Drosophila melanogaster: one gene and its partners. The protein of the gene in region 1 interacts with the protein of each later gene in a pairwise test. Each region holds a gene or a part of one and is shown in the gene's direction. Other genes may lie near its edges.

Evidence for each region.
Region 2: the proteins of Cpr47Ea (region 1) and CG6425 interact in a two-hybrid assay, tested with the Drosophila melanogaster proteins (one large-scale study listed by BioGRID).
Region 3: the proteins of Cpr47Ea (region 1) and rdog interact in a two-hybrid assay, tested with the Drosophila melanogaster proteins (one large-scale study listed by BioGRID).

The regions. Positions count from the first base shown.
Region 1 is NT_033778.4:11,251,130-11,255,175, reverse strand, and holds Cpr47Ea (cuticular protein 47Ea), read left to right. Parts: upstream 1-1,777; 5' UTR 1,778-1,819; intron 1,820-2,281; 5' UTR 2,282-2,284; coding exon 2,285-2,460; intron 2,461-2,731; coding exon 2,732-2,807; intron 2,808-2,893; coding exon 2,894-3,049; 3' UTR 3,050-3,425; downstream 3,426-4,046. Other genes in the region: Or47a (odorant receptor 47a), read right to left, coding at 3,454-3,504, 3,576-4,046.
Region 2 is NT_033777.3:26,714,532-26,718,909, reverse strand, and holds CG6425 (uncharacterized protein), read left to right. Parts: upstream 1-1,520; 5' UTR 1,521-1,645; coding exon 1,646-1,712; intron 1,713-1,771; coding exon 1,772-2,794; intron 2,795-2,859; coding exon 2,860-2,891; 3' UTR 2,892-3,745; downstream 3,746-4,378. Other genes in the region: Yif1 (Yip1-interacting factor 1), read right to left, coding at 44-582, 884-932.
Region 3 is NT_033777.3:29,156,126-29,164,143, forward strand, and holds the start of rdog (red dog mine), read left to right. Parts: upstream 1-1,996; 5' UTR 1,997-2,222; exon of another isoform or gene 2,223-2,373; 5' UTR 2,374-2,485; coding exon 2,486-2,565; intron 2,566-4,051; coding exon 4,052-4,282; intron 4,283-4,345; coding exon 4,346-6,331; intron 6,332-6,391; coding exon 6,392-6,945; intron 6,946-7,087; coding exon 7,088-8,018. Other genes in the region: Rpn2 (regulatory particle non-ATPase 2), read left to right, coding at 177-988.

The DNA.
Region 1 (4,046 bases):
ACGACTTGGCTTACCACATCTTCCATCCACTTTATATACCGGCGTTTAATGTGCGCAGCAGCCGCGAATTAACATCTTTCAGTCCCATTACGCCATAACCAAAAAATACAGAAATATACCCAAAACAAAAGCGAAAGAAAAAACGGAAAAAACACAAAAGAAATTCTATGGAAGCGCGCAGAATGTGACTTAATAAAACACTCACATCTTAGCGACAACATTTGCATATTTGTGATTCAGCGACTTGGCTTAAACGTAAGTCAACAAGAAAAAACAGAGGTCAAGTGATAAAGCCCATGATGATGGGGCACTGTAATGAGATCGATTTGGGCCGGTTATACGAATATTCCAGCAATCGAAAAAAATCCCACCAAGACACGTCATAAACTTGTTTCTCATTCGCTGCCAGTCAATCCATCACTTAAAGTGCCCGAAATATCTAGGCAAGCTGATTGATTGCCAATGTTTAGGAAACTGCATAGCATATTAGCATAGTGCTACACACACGCTCCAGAAGACAAAGGGGCATAAATTAAGATACATTTGAGGTGCGCTTATAACGAGTCCATATATCGGTTTCGGATTCGAATCGCACGCGATCCATCAGTCATCAGTCATCACACGGGAAACTACTTGGCCACCGTGAGTGTGTGCAAAAAGCATCGGCTAGTAGTAAAGTGAGTAAGCCAAATTGTATGTCAAATGTGAAAAATGCACTAAGCCAGCGGCAAACAACTCTTCCTCTCGGCGAAAAACTGCAATTTGAAAAGCCGCCCGAAGGCCAAAGCAAAACGCGGGCAACCGCGAAATTGGCCAAGTAACATGGAAAACGAACGAAAGGGAAAAACCAACGGGTAGCGGGAGTTGGCCAAAAATCTCGGGCGATGTTCATCATGTTCGTGATCATCTTCCAACGCCGAGTTGGCTGGATTTTGGCAGCAGCTATTGCTGTAATTTTTATGAATTGCAACTGACATTTCCTACACGCTGGAAAAGTTTAAAGTTTAAGCCGAAAACTCTTTAGTTTAAGCCTTAGCCGGCCGGCAAAAATGTGCCAAATGGGAGCGAGTTACTGGTGCAGCTGGGAGTGGTGCCTGGTCGACCTGGTCAGCGAAATTGGCCTAAAAGGGCAGGCTCACCCGGTCTACATAGGGAAAACAAAGACAAATAATACTCTTTAACAATGCATTGAAATGGACAAGCTGGCTACGCCCCATCCCGCGGCCCATTCAAATGTCAGTCGGCAGAGATTCTATCTCGACTCATTGGCAGGCATGTGGCCAAATGGCCAATTCATCAAATCGAAACCAATTGCAACATCTGTAATCTTTTAATTAATATTTGACTTAACGAATTATTGCATCCAGTCGAGCATCCAGCGGGGGCACTAATCAAATGAAGTTCGCATTGCTAATTCACATAAATTACACCGCGGAGAACTGTGAGCTGTAAGCTGCATACGCGGCGTATGCGCAACGCCCATTTGCATTTGAAACTCGTTGCGCATACGCTACGTGGTGCACTGGCAGCGACGGCAGCTCTTCCGATTCTGTTGCTGTCAGGCAGACAAACACTGTTTGTTTCGAATCCCGCTCGGCCTCCGCTCGTCGTCGGCTCCTCCTGCCCTTCCAGCCGCCAAATCTGCAAATCTGGGCTGCTGCACTGCATCTGGCTGCGGATGCTGCTTCTGCCGCTGCTCTGCTGTGAGCTGCAGTGAATGCGATTTCGGTATAAAAACGTTTGTGGCAACTGCAGCCAAGTCAAAGCACTTTTGACGAGCCTCCCAGCGCAGTACCCGCTATCAAGTCGCGAATCCGAAGTGAGTTTAAGTTCTAGTTGCGGTGGTGACTCCTTGAAGACAGGATCACACACAGATACATAGATCAGACACATAAGCTACAACTTGCGAGCGAGTGCAGAGACAAGTGGAGTTGATCCTGCATAAAGGATAACCAAAGTTTAAATTCAAAAGATCACAGTCATCTCCTGGATTTCAAGCCCCTTTTGGATATTTTTCCCACGACCTCCACCATCATAATCATCATAATTTCGCAGAACTTTCAAATCGCAAAAGCCAATCGGAGTATATCACATACTAATTGCCATGCAACGAGTTTGACATTCAAAGACAACGCCGGCGGCATCTCAATCGAGCGCCAAACACTGAAAACCATACGCCAAACACCAAACACCGCACCTCATCTGCAGTACTTACTTATGACTCTATTTAACCACCGTACCACCGCGCGGTTCCCCCCATCTTCTCTTTTGCCCACTAAAGGTCATGTCGCTCACCCACGCCTCCGCCGCAGCCCTCGTCTTGGCCCTCTGCTGCCTCAGTTTCATTCAGGCGCAGCCACAACGCGGACTTCCCCCACCACGCGGCAACTCCTTCGACGCGAACGCGGTGATTCTCAAGCAGAACTTCGACCTGAATCCCGATGGCTCCTATCAGTACAAGTAAGTTGGATCCAGGGATGGTAGGATCAATTTCAGGATTTGGAATGGATAAAAACAAATCGAACAATCTGAAATTAAGTTCAATTAGGATCATATAGAGAATCCTACAAAACATTGCATTTTAATAGCTTTAAAATTTTTTAATATCTTCATATGTGAGAAGCTCTTTGGAATCAAAAAAAATCAAGGATTTTAAATTTAAATCCATGTGTTTTTTTTTCTTTTTTAAGTGTTTCTAATGAGTATTATTATAAATTTTTAAAACTTGTAGCTACGAGACAAGCAACGGAATCCGAGCGGATGAGGCTGGCTATTTGAAGAACCCGGGCAGTCAGATCGAGGCTCAGGTTAGTGTGCTTTTCAGTGCAGCATTCAGCATATTGTAGCCTATTTTTCGGTGGTGCTGAAACTCTTTATTTCCCTGCACTTACAGGTGATGCAGGGCTCCTACTCGTACACCGGACCCGATGGCGTGGTCTACACCATCACCTACATTGCTGATGAGAACGGATACCGCGCCGAAGGAGCCCACATACCCACACCGCCACCAGTTCGCGCCGCCGCCGCTCCCGGAAGATTCTTCAAGTAATCCGCTCCGCTGTAGAATCGTGTTTTAATTCTTCATCGTTATGATCAAGTTGGCAATCATTTCGTTGTGGGTCAGTGCCGAACTGGCCGAAAGTGAACCAGAAACAGACAGGAGAGAGAGAGAGAGAGAGAGAGCAGCTGCTCGTTGGAGATCCTTTATCCCACCCATAATCATTTCCATTTTATTCCTGCCCCTGAAAAATCTCACTACCTTCGTGCTTCATCTGTGCATTTCTACAGCCAATTCAAATTCTACATTCTACTTAGTGCTTAACGAACAATATGTGAGATTATCATATGTAAATTACGTAAGATCGATTGTTAAATGTCGTACGGCAACGCATGCTCAGCAATAAAACAAAAATTGCACAAAAATCAATCCAAAGCCTTGTGGTCAAACCACATTTAGGAGAATGATCTCAGCATTGTGATGTAGGACATCGCCGTGCGAACAATCTAAAAACGGAAAGTTAGAAAAGAGTATTCATGTAAATCCATGTATTGTACAATGGAAATGATTCACCCACCGATGAGAAGGCCTCCATGTTTGCCTCGAAAAAGTATCCCGTAATGCGGAATCCCCGATGAGCCCGCATCATGCTGATCAGCAAGGATCGGCAGATCGAGGTAGAGGCTCCACCAGCACCCAAACTCTCGTGCCACGGACTGTCGTAGATGGCCCACTCGAAGCTGGCACTCTCCGTCTTCAGGTTCTCCCCGCAGTAGCAGTAGATATAGGCTTGTATAATGATTGTGGCTATGAATGAGGCATAGTAGACGCCCTCTGTCTGGGCAAAAGTAATGGAGAACAGATATCCCAGCATGCAGAGTTGCAGAGATGAAATGAAGAACTGGGCGCAGATAATCGGTTGGTAGCACTGATTCAGATCGTTGCACATATCCAAGCTGGTCTGGTACAGGGCAAAGACTTTGTTCAATGTGGCCTGTGATTCTTTAAGGGATCCGCCCTTAAATCTAACCACCTTGTACTGCGCAAT
Region 2 (4,378 bases), on another chromosome or scaffold:
TGTAATTTATATGGTTTCTCCGTTTGTGCTTCACCACTCTCACCTTATGCATATAGGGGAAAAACAGAAGGCGCAACTTCCTGCCCACGTAGGCGTTGTCCACTGCGAAGTAGTACTTGAGCTTGGCTACGGGCACCCACTTCTCGAACTGATTCTCCATGATCTGCTTGCCCTGATCCGCTAGTTTCTGACCGTACTGCATAGCCATGTCTTGCACGATGGGCTGCTGGAACATGGCGAACTGTGGGTACTGTCCAGTGGGTGGAGCTACAGGCTGAGGTGCTCCTATTCCGTAGGTGGGTGGCCCAGCCGCCTGTTGGGGAGGTGGTGCTCCATATCCGTATCCGGGCTGCTGTTGTGGTGGCTGCTGAATGTGCTGCGAGGGCTGGCCGAGATTGGGGTCGAAGCCATAGCTGTTGACCGGGGCCGGAGCAGGTGCTCCGTACATATTGGGATCTAGTATTCCGGGGCCGGTGGGCGGGGCCATGAAGGTGGCGCCACCGCCCATCATCGGAGCCGAGGGTCCCATGGCGTTAACATCACTCACACGCTTCGGCGGCCTTGGGCGACCGGCAGCTGAGGCTATTTTGGGACAGAGCAACCATTAGTTAGTGCCGGAGGATCTAAACGATACAACTGGGAAGCGGGGAACACAGGCACTCAAGCTACACACGCATCACGGAACGGAAACGCACAGCAGGCATAGAAACTGGGGAGCAGGATGCAGTGGAAGCCAGGAGCGGCGCACAAAACGGGGTAACGTGTAACGTAAACAGTGACAGCACTCCGGATTCCGATTCCGGTCAGCGGCGGGTGGGGAAATTCCGGAGTGGCTGCACCGGACATCCTTCAGGTATACTTGCTTGCGTAGCCTGATCCTTACAGTTCTCCCACTTACGGTTCCGCATACCCGGATTTGGATTGTAGTTCATCTTTCTGGATCAGTAAATTGTATTCAAAATTTCGCTTTTTAACACATCACCATAAGCATTTTGTTGTGTGACCGGAGTTTAGTGTTGCCAAATACCAAAGCATGACCGCCTACCAGAATGTTTGCACTCCGATAGATAAAATACTAAAAGTTACAAAAAAAAATTATAGATATCTTTGTTTTTTTTTTTTTTTGTATTATATTTTGTATATTTGTACATTTCTCTATTTTTATAACGTTTACTCCGTAAGTTTACTTATATGTAAATTTATACACTATTTTATTTATACACTAAACTTTCTTTAAGACAATTTCCTATTGTTCATCTTATTGCGATATATGGATTTATGTGCCAATGGATGTCTCAGTACTCAAATAACTGATTTCTTGCATTGGTGGTAACAGAAATATCATCAAGTCAGCCATTATATAAAAGAACATATGTAGATGAAAATTTAAATTGATTGTATTTTAAAGATAAAATATTTTCATAGATTTTGGAGAGTGGATTTTTTTATTAAACTATGCGTTTAAGTGGAAAAGGGCTATAAACAAAACGAGTTGAATAGCAGAGTGACCATGTGAGTTTTGACAGTGCCATCTGGCAACACTGTCGGCTTACTTTAATTTTTAGCGCATTCCGCAGCGCAAAACAAAACAAATTTGATTAGTTAAATAATTGACTGCAGTTCACTTTATTGTTAAGTCAAAGTTATGGAGAACGCACTTAAACGGCGATCTTTAACGCTCAGCACGCGTCTGCTGCATAAGCGCCACAGTGGTAAGGATTTCCAAGCTCGAAAAATCAGGAATATCCATAAAACAATCCTTTGTTAATAGCTTCACCACAGAGCGTACGCACAGGGCACAATGTAAGTGTATCCGTGGACACTCCCGGCTCGCCCAACTCCTCAGCAGTAGTGGGAATCACGTCCGACCTGGAGAGCACTCCACCACACAAACACAAGCCCAGCTTGGACGACAGTGTGGACTTCTCGCCCCGTTTGGACATCAGCCTTTCGCCCAGCTGCCTCTTCTCCCAGACACTGGCCACCGAAAGTCCGGAGGTGGGCTGGCGCTGGAACCGAAGCAGCAATGCCACCACGGACAGTGGCTTCGACTCCGCGGAAATAGGCAGTTTGAGCCAGCGCGAACGACGCCGGCAGATAGCCTTTAAGGGCGTCGAGGATAGACGCAGCCAACTGGACAATGAGCAGTGGCGGGCACAGCAGATGCGGGCTAATGTTCTTCTTAAGGAGCGCTGTGCTAGGCTCAATAGCCAGTTGGAGCAAATAGCTGTGTCCGAACCAGTAATGCCACTAAAAACTCCTAAAGCTCCGTCACCTGTTGCTCCCCGCACAAGATTAACCTGCACGAAGGCTACGCCAGAGCCAGTGCTTTCCCCTGTAGCTGCCTCCGATCCAATGGCAGACTTCCTCAACGACTCGGAGACGGATCTCTTCCTGCTTGAGGCCTCCCAGCAACTGGAGTCGAAAATAGAACACCATGAACCTCCCAAATCAAGCACAAGCACCACACCCACTAGGCACCACACGGCAAAGCGACCCTCCTTCTACATGAAATTTCTGGAAGACGAAAGCGAGGGCGAGGACTGGCTAAACGCCCTAGAAGAGGCAGTGCAGCAGGCCACAATGCCGAAGAAGCCGCGCACCTCGCTGCAGCGCTACAAATCAATGCCAACCACAGGGGATTCGTGCAGCGGAGTGTCCACCCTGACCAATGTGACGGCCAATTCAAATGCCTGCACAAGTGCCTCCTCCGCATCTGGTTCAGAGCTAAGGGATACTCCGCGCATCAAACGGCACGCCAGTTCGCACGCTCTGTCCCCAGCCACATCGCATGGTAAGTGCCAGAGTGAAGTCAAACATTTCTAGACCAAAGCAAACTCATCATTTCGTTCCCTGCAGCGCGCGGCAAACTCTTTGGCAGCCGGAAATGAAACCCGATTAGGTAACCAGCCCCTGAATACAATCAGCTTCCCTTCAGCGAGTACCAATTGTGATGAGCAAAGTTAGAGTTTAAGATATTTCGTTTTGTTTCGCTTGACTTGCGTGCCCCCTTGCCTGAGCATTCTGTATACGAGTACGCTAATTGATTAATGCAGCTCCAAAGCGTCTTTGAAAATGTTAATTTAAGCCTAATTAAAAATTAATTGTAATTTAAAGCAGGACCCTTAATATTCGCATCGAAGGCCTGTGCGTTCGTTCGGCGCATGCGACTCGCCATATGTTCGGCATTATCGGGCCGCGAACGCGCCGCCCACCAGTACCACCAGTACAGGTGGCAGGACGCAGACGGACAGGTGGATACGACTGGTCGCCGACAGGCAGTGAATTGACGTCCCCCGGTTGAGCTTTCATTCACGGATAGGAAGCTCGTTGAGTGCGACAGCGTTTTAAATTAATTGAAATGTAGGCGAAGGATTTCTGTTTTAATATTCAGACTATGGTTATATATAGGTCAGTTGGATTTCTTCGCGTCTTTGAGTTGCTTGAGAAGCAGCTGATAAACCCAACAAAATTAGTATTTAATTACACGTTACCTAAGTACGCCAATTCCTCATCATCTTCGATTGTTTCAATGAATATTTCGTTTTCTTTTTTCCACTATTGATAAACCTGTTTAATATATTATTAAGCCTAATGTAAATGCTTACATTGTGCTGGTTTTTTATATATGTATGAAACATTCAAGACCCAAGCCTTAATAATTTAGTGTATACAAAAGTATTTCTTATTTTTCGTTTATATTACATAAGTTGTATTGAAAAACAAATAAAAACTGCAACTTATTTATCTCTTGAGTTATTTTTCCGGCAACCAATCAAGCAAACATTACCCAATGTTAATTTATGTGGAGTTCATAAAATTAAATTTAAAATGCAATGAGGAGTCTAAGAAGGGATTTCCCTGGAAAACAGAATTTATGGCAAATGAAATCAAAGTGTGTGAATCCCATCTCGCACTTAAAACTCGGGAGGAGGCAACAATCAAGTCGGCATGAAAAGCCGGCGAAAGTTGCCCCAGCTGTCTTCACTTTTCGCTTGGCCTGCAGTTTAAAGGCTTGGGTGCTCGAGGCTTTATGAACCTATTTGGGCTAAGGTCAAAGTTGAAGCCCTTTCGCAGCCATTACGCGTAAGAGGCAATTGCGCCCATGTTTATGAATAGTCCTCCTCCAGTCGTCAGTAGTCCCTTCGCCATTCGAACCGCAGGAGCAAGTGACTCCATTCAGCCGAATCGTGCCATTCAGCCGAAAGTCAGCGAAAGTCAAGTATGCTGCCATATGTTTACGGAGCGCAGCATAAACCAATGACAAAACACTAGCTACAACTTAGCACGGAATGGTGGGTGGCTAATGGCAGCGGGCGTCCAAACTGGTGACGTCTGCGGGCAGCCAAAGCCGCTGCAGAAGCCAAGCCAACCGAGA
Region 3 (8,018 bases), on another chromosome or scaffold:
AACATTGGTTTCCGTAGTTTTCCCGCCAAGCTTCGAGATAAGATTAGTAGATACTCAAAATTATAAATATTCCATTTTTAACTAAGCGAACGACTATAGGTATTTTTGTAGGAATTGATTTATAATTAGTAATCGTCCTTTCCAGATCTTTCTAATTAGGCATTGACTATTTCCAGGTATTATTGATGCTGGTGGCCGAAACGCTACTCTGTCCCTGCAGTCCCGTACAGGACACACCAACCTGCAGGCAGTGGTGGGCATGCTGGCTTTCACCCAGTACTGGTACTGGTTCCCCCTGGCCCACACCCTTTCCCTTGCCTTCACACCCACCTGTGTGATCGGCCTGAACTCCGATCTGAAAATGCCCAAGATGGAGTACAAGTCGGCGGCCAAGCCCTCGTTATACGCATATCCCGCCCCACTGGAGGAGAAGAAGAGCGAGGAGCGCGAGAAGGTGGCCACCGCAGTTCTGTCCATTGCCGCCCGCCAGAAGAGACGCGAGAATGCCGACAAAAAAGAGGATGAGAAGATGGATGTGGACGAGGACAGCAAGGAGGGTGCTGCTGTCAAGAAGGACGAAGAAGCCAAGGCCGATGAGAAGATGGTAACGGATGAGAAACCCAAGAAGAAGGATGAGAAGGAAAAGAAAAAGGAAGAGGATAAGGAAAAGGAGGCAGCTGGCACCAGCAGCGAAAAGGATAAGGATAAGGAGAAGGACAAGAAGGAGAAGAAGGAGCCAGAGCCGACCTCCGAAATCCTGCAGAATCCCGCCCGCGTTCTTCGCCAGCAACTGAAGGTCCTTAGCGTTATTGATGGCCAGTCGTATGAGCCGCTGAAGGATGTCACTATCGGTGGAATTATTGTATTCCAGCACACTGGCAAAGCAGAGGACCAGGAGCTCGTTGAGCCAGTTGCCGCATTTGGACCGATGAACGACGAGGAAAAGGAGCCGGAGCCCCCAGAGCCCTTTGAGTACATCGAGGACTAAATGGGCATGCTGTTTGTCATTATCTAAGTGAATCCTGTTCGATTTTCAACCTTGCTTACGTTTCATGAGAACAACTAATCGGCAAGAACACGAAATGCTAATCCCTAATTATAACACAATAAATGGTCATCATATTAGATGTAAATAATGTCTACTTTGGTTTATGGTGGTAGTCGCCAACCTATTTTTTATCTCCTTAGAACTCGATCAAGAAGATTGTTTCGCCACCCGCCGAAAGATCCGCCTCTCAAACATAAATAAGTGATTTCACAACGCTCGGCAATTGCCCACAGTCTCTCTGAATTTGTAGAAGCGCTCTCTACCATGGCCGTTTTTTAAAGGGGATTGGTGCACCGTGGCCTCAAGGTAAACTTATGTTTGGATTTTAAGATGGTTAATTGCAATCGAATCGGGTTGGTATTCAATTATTATAAATATAAGCATATGATCGTATATGCAGTTAAAAAATGATCTTTGGAAATCATATGTTTTTAAGCTAAATGCCCATGTGCGTTGCCAAGGGAACTTGATATTTGCAAACAATTATTCAACAAGTAAATGATCAATATGTTTATAACTTTTATGGCTGGTTCCAACCACTTTCGTTGCAAAGAAGGGACAAATACAAACACTATATAAATCACTGTTATTATCCGTGGACAAGCACTGAAAAGCAAGTGCACTTCAACGGTGCGTCGGCCTAGAGATACCGTGTTGAAATCAGTGCTTCACTATTTGCCCTCCTACTGCTTATGAAGATGCAGATCATAGCGCAAATTAACATATTATTTTTACCTTCTGAAGATTACATATTTCAAAAGAATATGTCATCTGTTTTTAAGATTATTTAGTAGGTAGAAAACAAATGCCATTACCATGTGACAAAAAATTTGACGGACTCAGAACACCTCTCTTAACTCTTCTTTTAAAGGGTATAAAATGCGACTAGGTGGCAACGCTGCGAGCACTCTCTCGCGCTCGGGTATAAATGAAGAGCTATTTCTTTAGCCCAGCTCAGTAGGTTTTTTTTGTTGTTCCGTGCGGGTGCTCATTTCGCGTAATATTAGTGTAAATTCCCATAGCTCCTAGTGTTGACCAGATTGTGAACGTTGTGCCAGACGTCTGTTAATTAGCATATAGCACAACGAATATATATACCAAAAACCCGGCAAAATTACAACTCATCTCCGACGCAGTAGCCAGTTCTTTGTTACTGCTGCTCGCGCAAATAACGGTAAATGTGGATAACGGTGGATAAATCACTGCTGACCTCGACCTAGACAACAAATTTGTACATAGCTATGTACATTGTATAAACCGAAAGCGACAAACCGATTTGTTGTTGCCGGCTATGCATTATTGATTTTCAACATCCAATTCGACAGGAGAGCGTTGGACAGGGGGGAGTGGAGCGGAGAAAGCCAGTGAATCAGTGCCGCAACGTAACGGTAAACCCCCGATCCCGGCCACCTTAGAACCAGTACCCATCCCAAAGTTATGAACCGCACCAGGAGGAAGGTGGTGCGCCCAAAGAATCCCTTCACCAAAGCCAACTTCTTCTCACAATGGAGCTTCTGGTGAGTTTAACTACAAACGTGTGGATATGTAGAATTAATCAAAACATGAAAACAGACTTGGAGTCACTCCTGTATTAGTCATGAGAATATCACTTACGGTAAATCAAATGTACTATTCTGTAGCACGTGTTCTCACCATATTGTAGTATCAGGTTCGTATCAGGGCAGCACCTATCGTATAATTAGTTTAGTTGTATTAGCCTTTTTGGACCGATAAGTTTGGTGTGCTTGATAAGGTTCCCGTTATAATGAGAATGGCAATTCGATGGCACAGTTTTATTAAATGTCACCGCGGGCCACAAGGTTACATCTTTATCTGGCGTCGACAATGAACGCTTGCCAATTGCAACCAGATGGATCTGGCACCAGGGGTTTATTACGATTTCCTCCAATAAACAAAGCGTTCATAGTCTGACTAGAGCTGATAAGGCTGAAATTTTAATTCACTATTCAATGTCACATTTACTACGAATATTCAAATGTTCGCTCTACGGCTAGACAATTTACAATGTATGTACACAATAAGACTGAATTGTAATTTATGAAAAAGTCTTAGCGATTCCAGGCAGGGCCGTCACATGAGCGCGGTTTTAATTTAAGATCGTGGAGTTCGATTGCCCGTTTTCTCATGATTTTTCAGTAGGTACATAAAGAAAAGTAATTCGTCAGAAGACTGAATCAATTGGTCTTAGTTTTGCGTACCCTGAGCGTACGATTCCGATCCGAGTTTATGGTGATTTTAAGACAACAAAGTCTGTAAACCAATTTGGATTTTTATAACCTGTATTTTGCCTCGATAGAATCGAGTCGCCCATAGATCCAATATTCAAATGATTAACGCGAATCAATTAACGCCCATTTGGTGTTGATGTTCACAAATACTACATGTCTACATTCATAATTTTATTGTTAGTTAATTTGGACGATAATCTGCTGACATGGAATAAGCAACATTACTGAACATTCAAATTAACATTTATACTGTCTTACTACCCAGTTTCCACACTATACATGCATATATAGATATGTGCAAGTGTCTACACACGTACAAGCGTTTTATTAAAATGTAATCAAACAATGCCTCCGGGGGTTTTCGCAAATCTTGGACTGACGAAATTCCCAAGAAAATGATGTCGCTTGCAGGCCTTGTCTATGTTTTATCAGAGGAGTTCCCTTAAGCAAAATAGCGCCTACTGTATCTAAATTGGGGTCTTCGTTACATAGACTTTACTTAATCAAACACCAATAAAGAGTAGGAAATCGTATAAAATCTTAGGGCCTAACAACCGAATATGACCTTGTCTCACTCATTATCAGAACATTTAAAGGTCTTCTGTAGTACTACTGTATTGCCATCGTAAGCCTTAACATGTGCGCCTTTAGTTTAATTGCAATTAAACTAAGATAAGGATATCAGGATTTAAGTGCTTTAAAGTAGTTATACTGTAGGTTTCTGTGTTACTACTCTGACCTTTTAATCTTTCAGGTGGATGCGAGACCTGTTCAAGCGAGGCCTCCAGGGACCGCTGACGGACGAGGAGCTGTATCAACATAGAAAGACCCTGGATAGTGAAAGAGTGACGAACAAATTTGCGGAACTGTGGGAGGATGAGCTAAAACGAAGTAATCCCAGTGTGGTGAGGATGATCCTTCGAGCATATGGCAAGATTTTCGTGCCCATGGGGCTGGCGTTCTCCATAAGCGAAACGATTTGCAAGTAGGTAGAAACGGATGCTAATTTAACTCCCGTGCTAATCCCATTTACTTTTTGTTCGTTCAGATCTCTCATGCCGCTATTCCTGGGCGGTCTGGTCGGTTACTTTGCCACAAATCAGACGGATATCAGTGAAAACACAGCATATTTGTATGCCATGGGAATTGTGATTTGCATGCTGGTGCCTGTGATAACGTTCCACCCTTTCATCTTCTACATATTTCAAGTGGGCACCAAGCTGCGGTTGGCCCTTTCGGGTCTCATCTACCGCAAGGTCCTGCAGGTCTCGAAGAGCAGCAGTAACGATGGTCTGCGAGGAAGAGCAATCAATATTTTGTCCAACGACCTTGGGCGCTTCGACGTGGCGCTGTGTTTCCTTCATGATACATGGAAAGGGCCGATGGAGTCGATACTGATTGGCTTTCTCATGTACCGTGAAATCGGTATATCGGCTGTGATCGGTGTGTCCTTTATGCTCAGCTTTATCCCACTGCAAGCGTGGGCAGCCAAGAAAGCCGCCTACTATCGCCAAATGACGGCAGAGCGAACGGATATGCGTGTCAAGCTGATGAACGAGATCATCCAGGGCATTCAGGTGATCAAGATGTATGCGTGGGAGAAAAGCTTTGCCCGGGTCATCGCCGAAGTTCGCCTCAAGGAGGTGAAGGCCATTCGAGGCACTGCCTACATCCATGCCGCTCTTGGTTGCACCTCCATGATATCGCCGCTATCTGTGTTCCTGGCCCTCTGCTCCTACGTTTACCTTGGTGATCCCTTGACCGCCCAAAAGGTTTACACAGTTTCATCCTATTTCAACATGCTTAACGATTCTATGGTAACCTTTTGGCCTATGTCTATCACGTTTATTGCCGAGGCCTTGGTCTCGGCGAAACGTTGCAAAGATTTTCTACTAGACGGAGACAAAGCGGAGGTGCCCATAAACTTGGAAGCAAATCAACAAACAGGCAAAAACAAGCGCAAAATCAGCAAAAAGGACAAACAAAAGAACGTAGAGTTAAACGGTTCCTTGCTGTCCAATGGCCAAGTCCACCACAATCGTCTAAGGGATTATGATCCGGAGGCAACGAAAAAATGTGTGGTGCTTAAAAATGTATCTGCTTCCTGGGACACCAGTGATGGTCATGCCAACTGTGCCATCGAGGACTTTAGCACGGACATAAAGGACCAAACTCTGGCTGCTGTCGTTGGACCTGTGGGTGCCGGCAAGTCCAGCTTTTTGAACGTCCTGCTTGGCGAAGTCGGCATCGATAAGGGTGAAGCCATGGTCCACGGCAAGATCTCGTATGCCTCACAGGAAAGCTGGGTCTTCGAGGGAACTATTCGAGACAACATTGTTTTTGTTGAGGATTACAACGAGAGACGGTACAAGAAGGTGGTGAAGGTGTGTGGCTTGGAGCGGGATATGGAGTTGTTGCCTCGCGGAGATTTGACAGTGGTTGGAGAGCGAGGAGTGAGTCTCAGTGGTGGGCAAAAGGCGCGAGTGAGTTTAGCTCGAGCAGTCTACCGCAAGGCGGACATATATCTTCTGGATGACCCTCTGTCTGCTGTGGATACCCACGTTGGCAAGCACATCTTCGATCGCTGTATACGCGACTTTCTGTCCAACAAGATTAGAATTCTAGTCACCCATCAGGTGCAATATCTGTTCGATGTGGAGCACCTGCTGTTGATGGGGTCCGGAAAGATTATGGCCCAGGGCAGCTACCAGGAACTCCAGCGCTCCCGCCAGTTTCAATTCCTAGAGCAGACGCAGCACGACGAGAGCGGCATCGATACTCACAGTGTCAGCAGCTATTTGTCTCGTAGCGATTCCGAGAAGAGCATGGAGCATCAGCACAACCAGCTGCTTCGACCGGACGAGCATGTAGAGGACGTCAACCAGGAGCAGCAAACTGTGGGTTCCATCAAAATGCACGTCTACGCCTCATACATCAAAGCCTTGGATAGTACCTTTTTGTTGGGCATTGTTATTTCTTTGTTCGTCTGCGCCAGGATTATGTTAACCGGAGTGGATTACTTCTTGTCTAGATGGTAAACTATTTAAAAATTCATTTTGGATTTCTATTACTAATTAATAAACGCATATTCCAGGGTCATTTGGGAAGAGCAAATAGCTGTTAATCGCACTACAACGCTACTAAACGAAACCGACACGACGATTGCCAATGATACGCTGCCGATTAATGCCACGGATCCATATATAGCGCCTTTATTAGCTAGCGATATCCAGGCAGGCATTCGTCAGGAGCTTGTACTCTTCTATGCCACCATACTGGGCGCCACACTGATAGTCTACCTGATTCGCACCTTTGGCTTCTTCAAAATGTGCCTGCGCATCTCTCTGCACCTGCACGACAGGCTCTTCCGGGGAATCACTCGGGCCAGCATGTACTTCTTCAATACGAACTCCTCAGGACGAATTCTGAATCGCTTCTCCAAGGATATAAGGACAGTGGATACGGATCTGCCGCACACACTGCTGGACTGCCTCGCCTTCATTATCGATGTTTCTGGCGTTGTCATTATTGTGGCGATTGCAAACTATTGGCTCCTGATTCCAGCTGCCATCATTGGTGTTATTCTGGGCATGATACGCTACCTCTACGTAAACACCAGTCGCAGTGTTAAGCGCTTGGAGTCTATATGTAAGTATGAATTGTGTAATTGCGGCTCAGTACAACAGTAAGGTTTTATTAGAATTGGCAAATAGTCATATTTTTGTTATATTTCCAATTTTTGATGAGTTCAAAAACCTAAAGCCCTTTTTTGCATTTCTTTTTTTTCCAGCTCGCAGTCCTGTTTTCTCGCTGACTAACCAAACCTTCCAGGGTCTCACCACCATACGCGCTTTGCAGGCCCAAAGCGCCTTGGAGCAGGAGTTCCATGAGTACCAGAACACCAACACCTCCGCCTGGTTTCTCTTCCTTTCCTGCACTCGTGCCTTTGCCTTGTGGTCAGACGTGCTGTGTATCGTCTATATGACGGCGGTAACATTCAGCTTTCTGCTGCTTAAGGACGAGTTCGACAGCGGCGACGTGGGATTGGCCATTTTGCACTCCACCACGATGACTGGAATGTGCCAGTGGGGCATGCGGCAGACAGCGGAGCTGGAAAACCAGATGACCAGTGTAGAGCGAGTGCTCGAGTATACGGAACAGCCGTCGGAGGCACTTCTGGAGACGCCGGAGAAATTCAAGCCAAAGAGCGAGTGGCCCAGCAAGGGACGCATCGAGTTCATAAACTTCAAGTTGCGTTACTCACCCAAAGAAGCACCCGTGTTAAAGGATCTTAACTTCACTATAGAACCGCGCGAAAAAATAGGAATTGTGGGGCGCACTGGCGCCGGTAAATCGTCCATCATCCAGTCCATCTTCCGTTTGGCCTGCAACGAGGGTATGATCCGCATTGATGACGTGGACATTGAGCATATAGGCTTGCACGATCTGCGCAGTCAGGTTTCAATCATACCCCAAGATCCGGTTTTGTTTTCCGGCACTTTGCGCTACAACTTGGATCCCATGGACGAGCGTTCGGACGAGGAGATGTGGAAGGCTCTGGGCGATGTGGAGTTGCGTTCCTACGTGTCAACTTTAATTGGTGGACTGAACTGCCGTATGTACGACGGGGGTTCCAACTTTAGCGTGGGCCAGAGGCAGTTAGTGTGCCTGGCGAGAGCCATCCTAAGGCACAATAAAATACTGATTATGGACGAGGCTAC